4 linked regions of the Mus musculus genome follow. The protein of the gene in region 3 interacts with the protein of the main gene of each other region in a pairwise test. Links are inferred from orthologs where the notes say so. Each region holds a gene or a part of one and is shown on either strand. Other genes may lie near its edges.

What was found.
Region 1: the proteins of Adamtsl4 (region 3) and Apol6 interact in binary tests that used the Homo sapiens proteins (3 or more experiments, as listed by UniProt). The two-hybrid records come from large-scale screens. The link is inferred for Mus musculus from reciprocal best matches to the Homo sapiens genes ADAMTSL4 and APOL6.
Region 2: the proteins of Adamtsl4 (region 3) and Lmo2 interact in binary tests that used the Homo sapiens proteins (3 or more experiments, as listed by UniProt). The two-hybrid records come from large-scale screens. The link is inferred for Mus musculus from reciprocal best matches to the Homo sapiens genes ADAMTSL4 and LMO2.
Region 4: the proteins of Adamtsl4 (region 3) and Top3b interact in binary tests that used the Homo sapiens proteins (3 or more experiments, as listed by UniProt). The two-hybrid records come from large-scale screens. The link is inferred for Mus musculus from reciprocal best matches to the Homo sapiens genes ADAMTSL4 and TOP3B.

Annotation. Positions count from the first base shown.
Region 1 is NC_000081.6:77,043,161-77,048,063, forward strand, and holds the start of Apol6 (apolipoprotein L6), read left to right. Parts: upstream 1-1,914; 5' UTR 1,915-2,011; intron 2,012-2,024; exon of another isoform or gene 2,025-2,180; intron 2,181-2,504; 5' UTR 2,505-2,598; intron 2,599-3,870; 5' UTR 3,871-3,897; coding exon 3,898-3,971; intron 3,972-4,903. UniProt on the Homo sapiens protein: May affect the movement of lipids in the cytoplasm or allow the binding of lipids to organelles.
Region 2 is NC_000068.7:103,972,716-103,976,945, forward strand, and holds part of Lmo2 (rhombotin-2), read left to right. Parts: intron 1-3,289; coding exon 3,290-3,505; intron 3,506-4,230. UniProt on the Homo sapiens protein: Acts with TAL1/SCL to regulate red blood cell development. Also acts with LDB1 to maintain erythroid precursors in an immature state.
Region 3 is NC_000069.6:95,684,741-95,689,641, reverse strand, and holds the start of Adamtsl4 (ADAMTS-like protein 4 precursor), read left to right. Parts: upstream 1-1,724; 5' UTR 1,725-1,821; intron 1,822-3,970; exon of another isoform or gene 3,971-4,088; 5' UTR 4,089-4,166; coding exon 4,167-4,186; intron 4,187-4,625; coding exon 4,626-4,683; intron 4,684-4,901. UniProt on the Homo sapiens protein: Positive regulation of apoptosis. May facilitate FBN1 microfibril biogenesis.
Region 4 is NC_000082.6:16,876,764-16,880,993, reverse strand, and holds part of Top3b (DNA topoisomerase 3-beta-1), read right to left. Parts: intron 3,163-4,230; 5' UTR 3,048-3,162; coding exon 2,978-3,047; intron 2,038-2,977; coding exon 1,906-2,037; intron 1,742-1,905; exon of another isoform or gene 1,676-1,741; coding exon 1,569-1,675; intron 391-1,568; coding exon 316-390; intron 1-315. UniProt on the Homo sapiens protein: Releases the supercoiling and torsional tension of DNA introduced during the DNA replication and transcription by transiently cleaving and rejoining one strand of the DNA duplex.

The sequences.
Region 1 (4,903 bases), on a different chromosome or scaffold from region 3:
TCTCAATTAGTGATCAAGAGAGAAAGGCCCCTTGTGGGTGGGACCATCTCTGGGCTGGTTCTATAAGATAGCAGGCTGAGCAAGCCAGGGAAGCAAGCCAGTAAGGAACATGGCTTCTGCATCAGCTCCTGCTTCCTGACCTGCTTGAGTTCCAGTCCTGACTTCCTTGGTGATGAACAGCAATGTGGAAGTGTAAGCTGAATAAACCCTTTCCTTCCCAACTTGCTTCTTGGTCATGATGTTTGTGCAGGAATAGAAACCCTGACTAAGACACAGGGGATGGTGGGTAACCCAGAACTCACAACTAGCCAAGGTACCAGTGGCTGAGTATAGAGTGTTCAATCACAAATAAGACATCTATGGCATGCCTCCTCTTTGGGCTTCAGGTCAAGTTTTTCCACCAAGTGCATGGGCCAATCGTGTTTAAGTATTCATGTATGTGTGTATGCCTTGGTGCACAGCTGTGTGTGTGCGAGTGTGGAGGCTAGAGTTTGACATGAATAACCCCTTCAGTCACCTTCACTTTAGGTTTGAGACAGTGTCTCCTACAGAGCCTGACTGGTTGGCAAGTCTCAGGATCCCCCTGGCCCCACCTCCCCAGCTTGGATGATATAGGCACAGTGGTTTTTTACTGTGGCTGCTGAGAATCAAACTCACACCTGCACAGCAAACATGTCACCAACCTGAGCCTTCTACCAAGTGTTGGTCTTTAAAACAGTTTGCATTGAAGGATTTCAGGGGCCAGTTATTAATTCTGGTGCTGCTTTCTTCGTGGGGTTGTGACCCAGGTCACACATCTGTATCTGATCCAGTGGTATAGAAGGCATGAGGCCCTTTGTGCTCACAGAGAAGAACAGAGAAGTTTCTCCTAGATAAACCAGGAATCTCATACATGCAGGCTTTTCACAGCAGGAAGAGTTACACCCATCTCTGTTTTGGATTGGAAGTATTTAATAGCTTGATACAGACCTTTGCTGTCTGCAGAGCCGAATCCCCAGCCTCTTCCCAGACCCCTGAGCATCCTATCTCAGTCAGTTAGAACCCATTCTTGTGGAAGAGGTCACAGGTACTTTGCCAAAGACATGTTTGTTGTCATGGAGTTTTGATGTGGTCATGTCTTAAGGTTTATTGTGGTAATTGTCACTCGGAAACTTTTTTCCAAGGTTGTACTATGTTTAGTGATGTCGAAAATAAACTGCTCAGGTCAGATTTCAGAAGTTTGAAGCAGCACAGGCTAACAAGTTGTGTTGAACCGGATTTCTTTCTTGCCTCGTGTGAATCATTACTCTGCAGGCTGGTAGTGGGTTTGCAGACAACCCCTCACCCCCAACACACACATACACACACACACACACACACACACAAAGACAGCCTGGGACAGGAGGGAACCTAGTGGGTACAGCCACTGTGAGTTTATGGCATTTGGGATGTCTGCTGGGTAACATAGCACATACTCTGAGGCATCTCACAATGGCTTAAAGATATCAACACTAGAACGGTGTGCACCTTACATATGGAGAATCAGGCCAAGGGCAGGTTATTCTGATCCACAGTCATGCAAGCATAGATGTCTGTGGCCTTCCAGGTCCTAGCTCAGCAGCAACCGCTTAGTGTGGAGTCTGACTCACAGCTGGGAAGGAGCAATGAAGGGTTCTTTAGCAGGGCTGGGGATGGAATTCAGGGTCTGGCACACGCAAGCGCTCTTACCCTGAGCCACGCCAATGGCCAGTCCTCTGTCCGTACACCTCACAGTGTGTGTAAAGGAAGAGAGGAAAGTGAAACATTCGAACAGTATACTTCCCAGCAAGGTCCCTATTCTGGGAAATGGTTTTTAGAAGCCAGGCTGCAGCTTTATGGAATGATTCGAGGTTAAGATAAACCAGTTTCATAATTCCGTTCCCGCCTCCAAGAGCCACCACATTCCAGCCATTGGCCCAGTTGGTGAATGTTCCCATTCTGCCCTGATACTGGTCACAGTGCCTGCTGGACTGATTGGAGGACTCTTGGAGAGGTGAGGTTTGAGCCTGGAGTCATCCTATCTCTGAGAGACAGCGGGGAGGGGAGGAGAGGGCTGCTTCTGGGACCCTAATCGACCAGGAGAACAAGAAGCCAGTCACTGCTGGAGGAAAAAGAGCTGACAGGGGCTAACAAGGCTGTAAGCTCAGGCAGCTAGGAACTAGGTAGTTGGGCAGGGTCTCGGGTTCAGCTCCTAACATATGACAGCTCACTGGGAACCTCACTGGCTCAGATGTGCCAATGAGAGAGAGGCACTACCTTCTTATCTACCCAAGTTCTCTCTTTGAAAAGACTTTGGTTTGTTTTGTAGCCTGGGTGTAATTATGAAAAGTCCAGAGATGATGGGTCCTTAGCAAGGAATTCCCTAGCTGGCTGTTCCCCAGACAGAGACGCTTCCAATGGCCAGCTAGATTCTGTGGAATTAAAAGGCTCCTGGGTCTGCCTCTCTGGACTGTGTCTGCAGTACTGAGGTTGTCTCTCTTCTGCAGGGAGGACAGACAGGGCTTCTTCCCTGCCAACCACCCTAGCCGCTTGGACCTTGGAAGAGAGCACGGTAATCCTTCCAGACATCGCCGCAGCAAGGTACGTCCTGGTCTGCCAGCGGCGGCGGCTCTTGGCAGGGGAAGGCCATTATGGGTCAAAGGTGAAGTAATCAGGGCTGGACACTGAAAAACACCCAGATGGCTGGGGTGGGGTGGCCTCTGTGTCAGAGGGCTTGCTAGAATGTGAGTAGCCTGGGTCACTCCCAACAAAGTGTGCGCAGTGGGGGTGGGGTGGTAGTGGTGGTTGGTGTGTGCAGTGGGGGGCACAAAGGCCTGTCGAGCATTCTTGAGTATTCTCCTCAGGCAAACTTGTCACCTCTGCTTTCTTCTCCTGAGCCGTGACTCTGGGTGGCTCAGTTGCTGCATGTCCTCTGTCTTTCTCACCTGGTTTGCAGCTTTAGTTGCCCCCTCGGGTCTCCGGCTGGACACTCACTCGTCCCTTGCATACATCCCATCCGCAGGATGGATAATGGCGCCTTGAGACCAACCAGCAGCCAGCCTCCATCATGCCCCACAACATATGAGCACTCTGCAGCCTTTGGAACGGTGCAGGGGTGGTCAACAGAACAGTTGTTCACCCCCCAGGCTTAACATTGCCCTTAGCTCATGTATTCCCCATGTGCACTGGGAGAGTCTAAGGGTTCTAAGAACCTGGTCCAAGCTGTCACCCATTCACTCCAAGGATAGCAATGCTATTCTTCCTGAAAGTCCTTCTGCTTCCTCTTCACGACCTGAAAACCATCATCCTCACCATGGCCTGCACACAAGGCCATCATGTCCCTAATATCCTTGCAAACAAGGGCTCTGGGGACCTTGGATCTGATATCTGGTCTCTGACAGTGGAAAAGGTGGCTGGCACAGAGTTCTTGTGCTCTTGGGATTTTCTGGGCTCTCCTGAGCATCCCTTTGGGTTTTGCATGTGAGCTACAAAGCCATTGGCTGAGCTGTTCCCCAACCTCCTTCCCTCAGCTGGTAAGACAGCTCAGCAGGTGAACGTGTCTGCCACCAAGCTTGAGTGCCACCAAGCTTGGTGATCTGGCTTTGTTCTCCAGGACTCACACGGTCGGGGGGGGGGGGGGGGGGGGGGAGGGGAGAGCCATTTCCAAAACTGTGCTGAGTGCTTCCTGGGGGGGGGGGGGTGCTTGCTGCAGATGGGCTATACCTTAACTAAAAAGCTGTAGTTTGCAGATATCATGGTTAGTATAAGCCATGGCGTGGTATGATTTCAATTCTGCACAGTCTAAAATCCTTCCTTACTTGAATTTTACAATGTTGCATGCTATTGGCAGCAAATTTGCTTTCTATATTCCAGTTAGAAGACAAGCTGCCTCATAAGGACATGGCTTTGGTGCAAACTCCAACCCCGAGCCATCAGACAGAGGAGGACTATGAGGCTGATGCTGAGTTGCTAAGGTAACCCAGGGGGTGGACTTCTTGGGAAGGGCTGGTTGTATTGAAGGCAGCATGTGTTCTCTCAATTAGGAATAACCACTTGTCCTGTCCACTGTTCTATTGCTGTGAAAAGACACCACCACCAAGGCAACTCTTAAAATGGAAAGCGTTTAATTGGGGCTTGCTTGCAGTTTTAGAGGCTAGTCCATTACCATCATGGTGGGAGCCTGGAGGTGCCCGTGGCACTAGAGTAGAAGCTGAGAGTTTTACATCCTGATCCACAAGCAGGCAGGCAGAGAGAGATAGAGGCCTGGAGAGAACTCTTGAAACCTCAAAGCCCACCCTCATTGACACACTTCCTCCAACAAGTCCACACCTCCTAATCCTTCTGATCCTTTCAAACAGTTCTACTCCCTAGTGATTAAGTATTTAAATATATGAGCCTATGGGGCCATTCTCATTCAAACTACCACACCACTCCAGGATCACTGTGTGGAAAGAGGGATTTATCTTCTCAAAAGTCTCCATTATGCAGCACTCTGGAGACAGGGGCAGGCGGATTTCTGAGTTTGAGGCCAGCCTGGTCTACAGAGTGAGTTCCAGGGCAGCCAGGGCTATACAGAGAAACCCTGTCTCGAAAAACCAAACCAAACCAAACCAAACCAAACCAAACCAAACCAAACCAAACCAAACCAAACCAAACCAAACCAAACCAACCAACCAACCAACCAAACAAACAAACAAACAAAGTCTCCATTATGCTGAGGAAATGTTGTTTCCTTGAGGAGAAAATACTCCATGAGGTTGACTGTAATATTTTGGAGAGTTAAGTAAACATTTAGTCAAATGTGCAGTGTTGGGCTCCAAGGACTATGGCAAATGGAGCAGAGACAATGAATGGGGGGTGGGATGGGGGTGGGGAGCAACAGGAAGGGGGTCAGAAACCCTGTGAC
Region 2 (4,230 bases), on a different chromosome or scaffold from region 3:
CATATTTGGGACAGGCTGGCGGGAGAATATCAAATATTAACTTAAGGTAAATCTCATTTAGTCTTTGGCTTGAATTGTTCAACAGAGGTAATGGCATGTCATTAATTATAGAAAGATAGACCGAGTCCGAATCTTGTCCTGTCTTTATCTGTTGTTCTCAGACCCTCGTGTCTCTTTCTCGTGCAACTAGCTCTCCTGCCAGCGGCCTCACTGAGTGCTTGCTCAAAGCCAGCTTGGGTCTTTACCAGCTTGGATCTCCAGATGCAGATCGGTCCTTGCCTAGGCACGTGCAAAGGTAGCGTGTGCACAGGAAGCCAGTATTCATGAACACAGATATCCTTCACCATGCAATTGGTGTTCCCTTCTGCTTCCCTACAGGTCATTTTAATTCTAGCGAATTTTGTTCCAGCTAAGTACAGATTCTTCTCTTTCAAAGTTGGCTGCAATAACATCCACCCTCTGGGCATCAAGCATGATGGGAGTTCTGTGAGTGTTTTTGAAAGCCCACTGTAAAACCTTGAGCTATGCAAAGGATGGAGATTAGATTCTGAATTGGTGCACTTGAATAGGCCAAGGATCTTAGTTAACTTTCAAATATGAGGATGGATGCCTTATATATACCCTATAGAAACAAAGGCTCTAGTAGGAACCTGACAGGGTTTCTCTTTGTAGTTCTGGCTGTCCTGAAACTCACACTGCAGCCCAGGCTGGCCTCAAACTCAGAAATCCACCTGCTTCTGCCTCCAGAGTGCTGGGATTTTTAGGTGTGTGCCACCACTGCCTGGCAACTTCTAGTGTATTATTAAAACGATTTAAGGTCTTAGCCCACCTCACCCATAATTCTGTATACATGAGAGACTGGGGCAGAAGAATGGAAAGTTCCAGGACAACCTGGGCAATTTAGTGAGATCTTGTCTTAAACTTTAAAAGGAAGGAAAGGGTTTTCGAGCTGCCTCAGCTGCTAAAGGTGCTTGCTCTAAGTCTGATGACCTGAGTTTGATTCCTGGAACCCATGTGAAGGGAAGAGAGAACCGGAATACAGCTCAGTGGTTAAGAGCATCCCCTGCTCTTACATGGGACCCAGGTTGGATTCCCAGCACCCATACTGGGTGGCTCACAACCCTCTGTAACCCCATCTCTAGGGTATCTGAGGCCCATGGCCTTCTGGGGCACCTGCCCTTGTGTGCATCTTCACCCTTCCCCCCCCCCCACACACACACACATACAATTATAAATAAAAATAAACCTTTAAAAACAATATAAACAAACAGAATTGAGAAAGAAGTCAGTGGTGGAGCACTTACCTAAAGCGACTAGGGACCTGGGTTTGATCATCAGTACTGAAACAACAAACAAACAAACAACACCTAAAACCTGACTTGATCTTTGTTTTTCTCAAAGAAACTGACCTGAGCTTCAAACTTCCTGGTTCTAAAAGAAGATACTCTTATATTTTGTGCTAAAATGGTGGGTTTGGCATTAGCATTTAGCTAAATATTGACAACGGATGCTTAATAGTCTCCTAGATAGGGTCACCTGTAGATGCTGGAGTGCCCTATAAACACTCATTCCCTGAGTCTCACTGTCCCCAACTATAATGAAGCTGGGCTTCATGGGTACAGGCCAATTACGCCACAAGGTCATTTGGTAAAAGTGCCAAATAAAACTAAGAGACACAGACATATCACCTAGGGTACTCAGGAGGAAATTCCATTGGAGATTTCATAATAGGAATAAAAACCAATTAAAAAAATTTTTATACTAGATTTTTTTAAAAGCAGGTTTTATTTGAACAGTGTTCCAGGAACACATATTACAAATTAACAAGCATTAAGTATCCCCTGTCTCCTATCTGACATCACATTCATTTCTTCCATGCCGTTTTCTCTCAGTAAAGTTATTTCTTACATGTAAAACAAAAGTGGTCAGGTTCCAGGGAGGCAAAGCAAGCAGAAGGCCCTATGTGTGACTTTAAAGCAAATTTTTACATTAGTGTGTGTGTGTGTGTGTGTGTGTTTATCTATGTGCATGGATAGAACAGCCTGCTGTAATTGGCTCTTTCTTTCCGCTGTGTGTGTCCTGGGGACCACATCAGATCATTGGGCTTGGTGGCAAGCACCCTCACCTCCTAAGCATCTTGTGATCCCCTACATAACACTTTTTAAATGAAAGAACACATCCCTCAGGCTCACTGTGAACACCGTGCCTGGATTGAGACTTTGGTATCAATTTAATTGCCTTCCACTCTCTTTTAAATCCATTGTTTGGCCCCCTCCTCCACTCTCTTTACTAATTTGATTTTATTCAAACTACTTTTGCTGTGGTGAAAAAAGTTTGAAGGAAAAAAAAAAACCACATCACCACTATCCTCTGTCTGTTTAAGAGCTGCATCGTGACCTAGATTTCCTGCCAGAGTCATTCAGATCTTGTACTTCTTTGAGACAGTGTCTAACGCAGCCCAGAGCCTCCGGATGATGCTGATAAACTTGCCATCCTGCTCCTCCAGGTTCCACCTCAGGATGGACTGGGTGTATGTCCCCACTTTAGGTGGTACTGGAGAAATGACCGTTGGGCCTCTGACATGTTGGGCTGTCTCTCTACCTATGAAACCGAATCTCCATCCAAAGACTCATGCAGGATGTATGGAAGAATGCAGAACTTCAATCGGAATAATCAGATATTGACGGAACTTTCTGTTTGGGGAAGAGAAGGCAACCAAATATAATTTCGATGGCTTTCTTCCTTCTCTACCTTTGATTCTGTGCAGCGGGAAGGTCTTTGTAGGGTGCATTCAACAGGTTATCTGTAGATTGTTAGCACACTGGGGGGGGGGGGGGTCATCAGATGCTTTGGCTGTGAGCAACTCCTTTGGTCCCAAGTCTATTCTTTGGGATTCTTTGGCAGTGCCTGTGTCCAAAGAAAAAAGGGAGGGAGGGCTGGGAAGATGGAGGAGAGTAGGAGGGGAAGGAGGAAGAAGCAGATTGGATCAGAGGTGCCTGCAGAGATGCTGGAATGTAGTCAAGGGTCCAAGGGCTATCTGTAGGTGCCTTGGACACCTCCTGGTATCCCGTCTTCAGTTTTTCAGATGATAAGGTCTCTCTAGCCCACTCCCGTCTTTATCCAAGGTTGTCTGTGTCTATGCAGTCTGAATTTGGGCGTCCTTTCTCCTTATACTGCTGGAAGGAAATGTAGTGAGGTTCCCCATAGAACCTTGGGCATGCAGTGATTCCTGGGACTTTGTGCTTGTCTCCCTTCAGGCAGCATATCCTAATGCTTGGCTCTTCCCCAGGGAACCCGTGGATGAGGTGCTGCAGATACCCCCATCCCTGCTGACATGTGGTGGCTGCCAGCAGAACATAGGGGACCGCTACTTCCTGAAAGCCATCGACCAGTACTGGCATGAGGATTGCCTCAGCTGTGACCTCTGTGGGTGTCGGCTGGGAGAGGTGGGGAGGCGCCTCTACTACAAGCTGGGACGGAAATTGTGCAGGAGAGACTATCTCAGGTATATCCCTCACACTTCTGGGGCACATCCGGGGTTGGATACATAGTCTCTAGCTCCTGAGGTGTCTGCCTAAGGGGCCTAGGCTGTGGAGGCTGAGCTTCAGCTGCCTCTTCAGAGAAGCCGTGAGTTCTTCCTCTACTGTGGCTATGTTTGCAGAGACACATCACTGCATGGTAAATCACCAATGTTTTTAAAGGTAAGAGAATAAAAAACACGGAATTCAGAATAAGGACAAAATTCTGGGGGTGGGGGCAGACCAAAGGATAGGGTTTGGAGAAGTGTACGTAGGGAAATATCCAGGGAACTAGGGGAAGAGAGAATTCATTTATAAGTTTCTTGGGTGGGTTCTCATTTAGTACTCAATAAGCATATGCATATGTGTAGATAGTCTTTTTTTTTGTTTTGTTTTGGTTTTTGGTTTTTGGTTTTTTGAGACAGGGTTTCTCTGTATAGCCCTGGCTGTCCTGGAACTCACCTTGTAGACCAGGCTGGCCTCAAACTCAGAAATCCGCCTGCCTCTACCTCCCAAGTGCTGGGATTAAAGGCGTGCGCCACCACGCCCGGCATGTGTAGATATTCTTTTGCACAACTCCAGTATTATTGATGAGAACTTTTAAAATAGCAATGTGTCCTTGCTAGTGAGCCCCCAAGCGCTGAATTTCATAGCAGGAGGCTAGCCTTCAGCAGCTATAAAGGTGAAGTCAGGAGGTTTGAGTCACTACTCC
Region 3 (4,901 bases):
GAGACCCCTTGTGGAGGTGCTTGTCCTAAGAGAGTGGGAGGATTTGCTGAGAAACCAAAAAAAAAAAGTGCATGTTAAATTTCAAATAAAGTTAAAATCTGGATCATCCCAATACTGTATCCCAGACTCAGGCTAAGCAAGAGAAGTTCAAATTTGGGGTCAGCTTGGCTCCATAGCAAGTTTCCTGTCAATCGGCCCTACCGTGGCAGGACCTTGTCTAAATAACAAATAATATCTTTCTGCCTTGATCAGTGCTGGGAACGGCTGGGGACAGAACCCAGAGCATCCTGCATGCAAAGCTCTGCTTCAGCGCATTATTACACCCCCAGACATAGGGCTGTTTTATATACACACCCACTGCCTTGGGATAGACCCTGCTTCCACAGTTAACATGTCAGCTCCAAAGTGATCATTTCTCACTGGCAGGATCTGTTCAAACTAGACTTGGAGACTTAAGGACTTAAACTAGCTTCTGTGCCCTCAGCACAAAGTGTAACATATAGCCAAGAAACTAGGAAACATTAGCCGGGGGCACCAGGGCCCTCTGTTGTTTTATGGGTTGCAAGACAATATGTTGCTACAACTTCTGTATTTGAGTGTCTTGACATTGGTGGTGAGCCTGGCCTTCAATGGCTGAGCCATCTCTCTAACCTTGCTCTGGTATTTCATTGTTGAAACTAGGGTGGTCTCACTCTGTAGCCCAGCTTGCCCTAGAACTTGCTGGATTTCCCAGGCTGGTCTTGAACCAGTGGTTCCCCTCTCTTGCCTCAGCCTCCCAAGTGCTAAACATGCACTACCATTCCCTATATATTCTCCCCCACCCCCACCCCCCGCCCAGCCTCAGCTGGAATTCACCCTGAAGACCAGTCTAGTATCGAACAACCTATACGTTTTTGTTTTTCAAAGAAGTTACGAGGTTGGACAGGCAAGGCATAGGCAGGCCTTTAATCCCAACACTGCAGTAAGCAATAGCAGGTGGATCTCCATGAGTTGAAGGCTGGCCTGGTCTACACAGTTCAAGCCAGACAGGGCTACCGAGACCCTGCCTCAAAGACAAACAACAAACCAACAATCCATTAAAAGACATATGAATAGAATAAAAAGCATAAAAACTGAAAGCTGTTTTCATCCCTTCCCCACCCCTCCTCAGTCATTCTTCCACATGGAGATGGATAAACATTTCCAAGCCTAATATACACATCAAATTCTCCCATTCTACAGAGGACACTGCCGCATTGAAGTTGAAGTGCTCATGAAAGACCACAGAGCTGGCAAGTGCTCAAGCTGAAATTCAAATCCAAATTGTCTGACTCATAATTCAGCGTGCATTCCTCCCGCTAAGCTCCAGGGTGTAAAATTTTATGGATGAAGAAACCGAGGCTCAGAGAGGTCCCTGGCCATCAGAGCCACATGGTTCACTGCCCAGTATGGGAAAAGCGGAGGCGATGGCATTGGCTGCATGGAGGAGAGGGCCTTGGCTTGAGCAGATCTGAGTTTGCTCAGGGCTACATGGGTCTAGTTTGCAAATCCCCTTGCTGGTTCGGGGCTAGCCCAGGTTCTTCGAGGACAGGCTCCAACCAAAAGGAGCCTGCCAGAGTTGGTGGGGTCTCGAGCCCCGGGGCGGGCGCGGGAACCGTGTCCACAGCGTGGCTGCAAGCTCTTTAGCTGTACGGGGCACCCGGGGTGGGTGGTTGAGTCCGGCGCGTGGCGGGCGGGGCACGGGTGGCGTGGGGCGGAGCCTGCCGCGGGCGGCGCTGTCCTGGGGCTCCGGGCCGCGGTGGCCACTACCAGAGGCAGCTGGAGAGAGCGGGCGCAGAGAAGGTAGAACCTCCCCGACCCCCCGCCTGGGCTCTGACTGTCTCAGAACAGCGGACCCTAAGGCGAATTCCTGGGGAGGGGGTCTGGTCCCTGGGACTCCGAGTCCCATCACCCGGGCGAGGGCTTGTGCCAAGATTCCTATTAAGTCACATAGTGAAGTTGGAAAACATACCCAGGACCTCCCTGCACGCCGGCACAGCCGGCTCTTCCCTGAGGGGCTTCGGGAAGATGCGACCAGACGCCTGTACTCTGGGAACGCAGGGATAGGGTGTCCGGGAGGGATGCGGGTGAGTGCTCTTTGCACAACTCAATCTGTTGTGAGAGGTTGAGGGAAAAGACACCTGTTGGGATGTTTGGGGGGGGGGGGATGCCGTGAAAACCCTGGCATTCTGACAGGACAGCATCTCTCCTCTGCTAGCCCAGCCCTTACTAACCCTCCCTCCACCCGTCCACTCTGCATTGGCTCATTTGCCTGAAGTGAGCCTGGGGTGAAGGGGTTAGCACCCTGCAAGTCACTTTCCTTGGTGTCACTGGCCCACAAGGGGGTGTGACCAGGAGCAGCATAGGTTTGTGCTCAGCCAGGGTCCACCGTGACTTCAGGATGCCCACTTCCAACCTCATTTTCCTCACCCTGGGCGTGGAGAAAGGACAAACATACATTTGTGCGGGGGGGGGGGGGGGTGTCGGCTCCTGCTCCCCTATGCAGGGGAGGGTGGGGTGGACTTTTCCAGAGAGGGAGCCAGGCCTGGCCCTAGCCCCAGGAGTTCTCGTCACCCCCCACCCCTCACTTCTCCAGAGAGCTGCCAAAACCAGCTCAGGACAGGATTATGTGTACTGGGTAGACCACGGAGAGGCATCAGGGACAGACTGGAGGAGCAGAGAGGCGCAGAGGGAGGTGGAGAGGGGACCAGCATCAGACAGGTTGTGTCCATCACACACACCCCCCATCCTTCCAGCCTCACTGGGCAGGCAGAGGGCTGATGAGTGGGTTGAACAGGGCCACTCGTCCATCAGGGAAGTCGTAGATTCAGTGGCTGGCTCAACTGAAGAAGGACGTGGTGCCTTTTACCTCCTCCCTAGCTCCAAGAACTCAGCTCAGCCCATTTGGTCTCCTCCTCAAATTCCCAAGCCCTGGGGTCCCAGGGAGGGGGAGCAGGACCTAGCTTTGCCCCCCTCTCTGTCCTTTGCATGCCCTGATCTGGCCTACTTTGGCCAGCGATCCTTGGATTCTTCTCATGGTGCCATTCAAAGGCAGCAGAAACAGTGTTTTTCCTGGAAAGCAGAACTTAGATGGGATGAGGATGTGGGTAGGCGGGGCCTCAAAGAGAAGGCAGGGAATGGAGGATGGGGGTAGGGAGAGACAAGATTTGAGGACAGGTATGAAGACCCCTGCTACCCAGTGTTTACAGCTAGACTTAAGGGTGGACTTTCCAGGGATACGGGAGGGAGAACCTGGCAAGCATGGGCTGCTATGGCTACATCTCTCCTTCTTAGGTGTCCCAGTTTGGCTGAGCATTGTAAGGAAAAAAAAAAAAGCAGAAAACTAGTTGTACATGAGCTAAGTCACCCTGAGCCAGTGCCTTGTGGATGCTGGCACTCATGGGGAGGATAAGTCACTGCCTCTTCTCAGGAGATGAAGCCATTAACCCACTTAGTTTATCCCTTGGACAAAAAAAAATGCCCGGGGCAGCCTGTATGAGCCTTGTCCTCCGTAAGGAGCTTAGTTAAAAGGAAAAGAAACAAATGCTCTTGGGTTCTGTGAGCGGGAGGAGGTTGGTTTTCCTTTTTTTGTTGTTTGTTTGTTTGTTTTGTGATAGAGGTCCCATATCACCCAAGCTGAACCCCTTGAACTCCATCCCAACTGTGGAATTAAGGCTTGTGACCCCACCCCTGGTGCCCGGAGGCCTCTGGCTGGCCCCTCATGGGTGACTGGCATAGCCTGCCTCCTCTAGGCCCTAGAGCTCTAGGAGAAAGAAGCTCTGGCCCAAGCTGCCTATGCACAACCCCTACCCCCACCCACATCAGCCTCCAAAGGAGCTAAGTCCATCTTGGGCCATAGGGAGGAGACTAAACTGAACTAAGAGGCTGAGGTCAGACCCCCCACCCTCTAGCAGATGACAAAGACAACGTCCCTTCTTGCTCCCACCCTTAGGTCCTAAAGGGGTGGACCATTCCTCCCCCACCCCTCCAGGCTGTTGGTGTTGTGCTGAGACAGCCCTTCAGTCCCCCCAGATAGCTGGAGGGGTAACGCCATGCTCCTCCCTCCTCAGAGCACCCTCCAAGCCCCGATGCCAGAGTAGCCACCCTGTCCCCTGCTCCCCAGCCCAGGGGCAGTCACAGGAAGAGCAATGGAATCTTGGCTGGGCAGGTAAGAAAGAGGGGTAGCAGTGGAAAGGACCAGCTCTGTCTCCATTAGGGCAGGGAAGGGGCAGAGGGTAGCGGTGCACACCTGTAACTCAAGCAGAGGCAGGTGGATGCCTGTGAGTTTGAGGGCAACCTGGCCTACAGAGTGAGTTCCAGGACATTCAGAACTCAGAACTGTTACACAGAGAAACCCTGTCTCAACACACACACACACACACACAAACACACACACACACACACACACACACACACACACACACACGACACACGAGAGAGAGAGAGGGGGGGGGGGGGACACACACGCACACAGGAAGGGACTGTGAACTGTTGGAAGGGGTCTGGCAAGTGACAAGGGACGTCTGCTTCCTGAGAAGCTGGGTGGGGGCAGGCAATGTCGTAACACCTCTGGCTCCCTCTGATGTCCCCCACCCCTCGGTGTGCAGGCTCTGGCTGTGTATGATGCTGCTCCTGCCTCTCCCTCAGCCCTGCCAGGATCAGGAGGTGAGCCCGGGACAAGTGAGCCACTGCTACCCTGCCCAGGGTCCCTCCACTGTGCCCTGGCCTCCCCTGTAGGGTGGCTTCACATTCCCACTGGGAGACTTCGGCCCCTTGTATCAGGTTTGGCCCACCCAGACTGACTCCCTCTCTTAGTCTAATAACCTAGAAAAGGCTGGAGTTTGGCCCTACCTGTAAATGTGACCTTGGACAACGAATAACCC
Region 4 (4,230 bases), on a different chromosome or scaffold from region 3:
GTGTTCTGTCTGTCTGTATGTGCCCAATGTGCATGCTTGGTGACCTCAGAGGAGGGCATCAGATACCTTGGAAGTTACAGATGGTTGTGAAACCTGTGTCCTTTGTAAGAACAAGTGCTCTTAACCAATGAGGCGTTTCTCCACCTCTAGGTCTATGCATTTAAAGTAGCCACAGATTTTCTGAAATCAAGGGGTTGGGAGATGTTTTTTTGAGCCCTATACTCCCTTATGTTAACCTTAGGAATAGTGTGACAAACTCTGATTGGGAAGGTGGGGAAAAGGTCTAAAGAAAACCAGAGTGGTCTCCACACTCACCTCAAAGCAAATATTCTCCCCTTCCTTGTCACAGTCCAGCCACAGCACAACATAGTCACAGCCTCTGCCCTCCACCTGCCACAAAGCACACACTGACAATCAACCCTATGACATTCCCCTTTGGGGACAGGAGATGGAACCAGGTACTGGGCTTCCAGTACGAGGAGCTGAGCAAGAAGCAGTCTACAGCGAGGCTGTCTCAGACTCAGAAAAGGTTTTGGTTCAGAACTATCAAACTGTTAGATCAGAAAATTGTATTTACAGTCTGTCTATGCTTCTGCGTGTGGTGTGGAGCATGTGCAGGGCAAGCAGGTGCATAAGTGGGGCAGAGTCAGAGGACACTGTGGGGTACCTTGTTCTACCAGTCTCTGTCTTGTCCACTTAAGACAAGGTTTCTCACCGAACCTTGAAGTACGTGGTTAGCCAGCAAGCCCCAGCGATCCTCCTGTCTCTGCCCTCCACAGCACTGACCATGGGTGCTAAGATCCAAACTCAGGATCTTATGTTTGTGCAGCAAGTGCTCTTACCCACTGAGCCATCTAACCCCTAGGATAAGGATTTTTACTTTTATTATATAGTCACAAAATACAGTGTGTGCTCCTTAATTTCCTGAGGGAGAGGCCTTACTTTTTACATTTTCAAACATGTACATAATATACTTCTAGTACATTCGACCCCATCATTTTCTCTCGCCCTCATCTACTCTCACTGGCCCTCCTCCTCTCCGTATGACATAAGCATCAAGAGTGAAATGAAACAGTTCAGTATTAACAGTGCTTGTTTTGGATCATGTGGTTTTACTGTTTTTCCTTTAAACTTATCTTTATTTTCCAGTGTTTTGTTCTGTTTTGTTTTGTTTTTTGTAAACAAGTATTTCTTGAAACACTTTCTCAGATTTTTGTTTTTTTCTTATTGAGTGAGACAGGGTCTGTCTGTGTAGACCAAGCTGGCTTTGAACTCACAGGGGTTCATCTGCCTCTGCCTCCCTGGTGCCGGTAATCTCACCATGAGCCGTCAAGGATGTTATATCAGACCAGTTAGCACCTAAGACCTATTTTTCAAATTATAACTTAGGCAATATTGACTGGGCTGGTTTGGATAACCAAAGATAGCTTCCAAGGGCTTTAACCACATGGTAGCAGCTTACATTACATTACTCAGGAAGGGAAGGATTAGACGTTTCCAGTTTTTTGGTTTTTGTTTGTTTTTTTAATAAGATGGGCTCCTCGGTGGGCTTGTAGATGCTCCCTTACCTGCAGGAACTTGACCATGTTCAGCTTGGGGTTAGCTTCCTTTTTCTCTGTTGGAGCTTGGCTGAAGAGCTCTGCAGGATCCACCTTATCCCACTTGTTGTACTTCCCTGTAAACCGTATCCAAAGACACTGAGCCACACTTCACAAAGGCTTGGCCTCTGCAGCTGTCACAACTAGGAATAGGATAGGGTGTATCATGCAGAGATGGGGACGGGTAACTTACCCAGCTGTTAACCACTTCCTGATCTGTTGGGAACAGGGTCTAACTGGACCCTGGGTAGTGCTGTACGGTGTTCCTTTCAATAGGACAGAGACAGGAGGAGAGTGGTCATCTTACCCAGAAAATCCAGTGTCATCACATGACCGCAGACAGACGTCATCTTGAAGTGGACAGGTTGGCCAGCAAAGGTTCCTGTGTACTTGTGCACTGAACATGCCCCATTCAGCCCTTTGTGTGAGGACATGTTTCCTAGGGAGGCAAACCACACAGACAACTGTGAGGCTGACTTATAACCCTGTGGGTCCCTGAGCCTACATGCTAACTGTCAGGGGACACGAGTTCTCCTTCTCCAGAGTGGTCACTGGTAACATCCCTTAGCTCCCACTGCAGATAAGTGGGTACTGGGTGGCTTAATGGTGCTGAGGGATGGAAGCATCTATGAAAGTTTCACAGAAATTCACACCAGTCCCATACTTCCTGGGAACTAGAGGCGGAGACTCTTCAGGTCTCACTCCATTTCTATTTTCAATTTGAATTCTACCTTTATTTATTTAGATTTTAAGGTTATTATATCTTACACTATGGTTCCTCAGCTGAACACTCTTGGCACTTGGAAGTGAGATGATGCCTTCTGGATCCCCCTGGACCTTTGGAGTGTGTATTCTCAGCCTAACTAGGGGCTCTTCCTCCTCCAAGAGCTGGTAAAAGGAGGTCAAAGTGGATGTCTGCCATTGCTGGATAGCCACTCAGCATCCAAGTACTCTTTCTATTTAGAGGGCCCTCCCTCCATGTACCACCTCAGTAGCAGAGTGGATCCTGATGGGCAAATCTTCCACTACCTTCCTGGCTCTGAGGTCACTGGCCACTTGTGAGTGACATGAGATGTAGGGAATGTAACTGTAACCACATCCAGGGCCCAGCAGATAGTAGTGAGTATCTAGTGGTGCAAAAACTAAGCCCAGCATGCTGACAATGACTGCACTTTGTACATCATTACTTTTCCTGGAGGCTTCAGCCCTGGGACTTCCACATGTGGACATAGCATGTCACAGGAGACTTGCTAATAAGGTGCTTCCTGAAACCTGCCAATCCCAGCTGAACCCACCAGAAAAAGAAATGATCAAAAAAGCACAAAAGACTCTGCTTATAGATGAAAGCAATCAAACAGCCTAGTGTTTGTTTTTCCTACCTCGGGAGAGGATTTTGGCAATGGACTGTGCCAGGGATGGCTTTTCTGCTACCATGAGCACGGTCTTCATTCTTGCTCCTGGCTGTCAGGGCCCACAGACCGTTGCACCCAGACCCAGAACAGCAGCAATAAAAAAGCTTAGAAATGTCTCCTCTGTAGCTCAACACGACTGCCAATGCTGACTCCTAAGGGGAAGAAAAGACAGTACATTTATATCATCTCTCCAATGCTCAGAGAACTCTGTGAAGAGGGACAGAGAAGGCACGGACTAGAGGGAGGTGTGATGTGCTTATGGAGTGCCTTCGTCCAGGCAGCACGTAGCTAAGTGTGGTTAACGATTGCTGAGGAAAGGAAAAAACGTTTTCTTCAGTGGTGTAGCTACTGCTGAAGTATCCAGGATCCTGTAAATAACCTAACGGAACTCACTGGGTTACGCACTCAGAAGGCAGAGGGCAACAGTTAGGAAGAGGAAGGCAATCACAGAGAATAGGGCCGAAAAAGGCAGTCAGTGATGAGTATAAAAAGTACATTATATTCGCCGGGCGTGGTGGCGCACGCCTTTAATCCCAGCACTTGGGAGGCAGAGGCAGGCAAATTTCTGAGTTCGAGGCCAGCCTGGTCTACAGAGTGAGTTCCAGGACAGCCAGGGCTATACAGAGAAACTGTCTTGACCCCCCCCCCCCCCCAAAAAAAAGTACGTTATATTCACGTATGAAAATGTCACGAGGAAACCCATTATTATGATAAGGACAAGGAATGTACTTTTCTTCCTTAGGTTGGTGATGGAGATGGAACCCAGGGCCACCAGAATGCTAAGTAAGCACTGACCAATTGTTCAGGCAGTGGGAGTCTGGCTCTATGGAGAGAAGCAGCAGTGACTATGACTTTGACTATGACTAAAACATGCTGGGACCTACAGACCTGGACTCATAGGTTGGGGCAGGGTGTGTGGACCCAAGCCCCTGGACTAGCTGTTGGGATACCTGCCTGTGAAATCATCTCTTAGAAGGGAAAATAGAACAGTGTTATGGAGAGACAAAGAGGAAACTAGGATTGAGGGATTAAGTAGGGAAGGGGATACAAGAAGGAATGTGGGGAGGGACAACTAACACTCAGAGACATGAGTTACCAGATAATAGGCTCTGACAGTATCCCAACTAACCAAGTTTTCAAACCTCCAGTGCCAGGAATGAGTAACAGCTTGTTGAGCAGGCCAAAGAGGCACCATGGACACCCCCACACATCTCAGACTG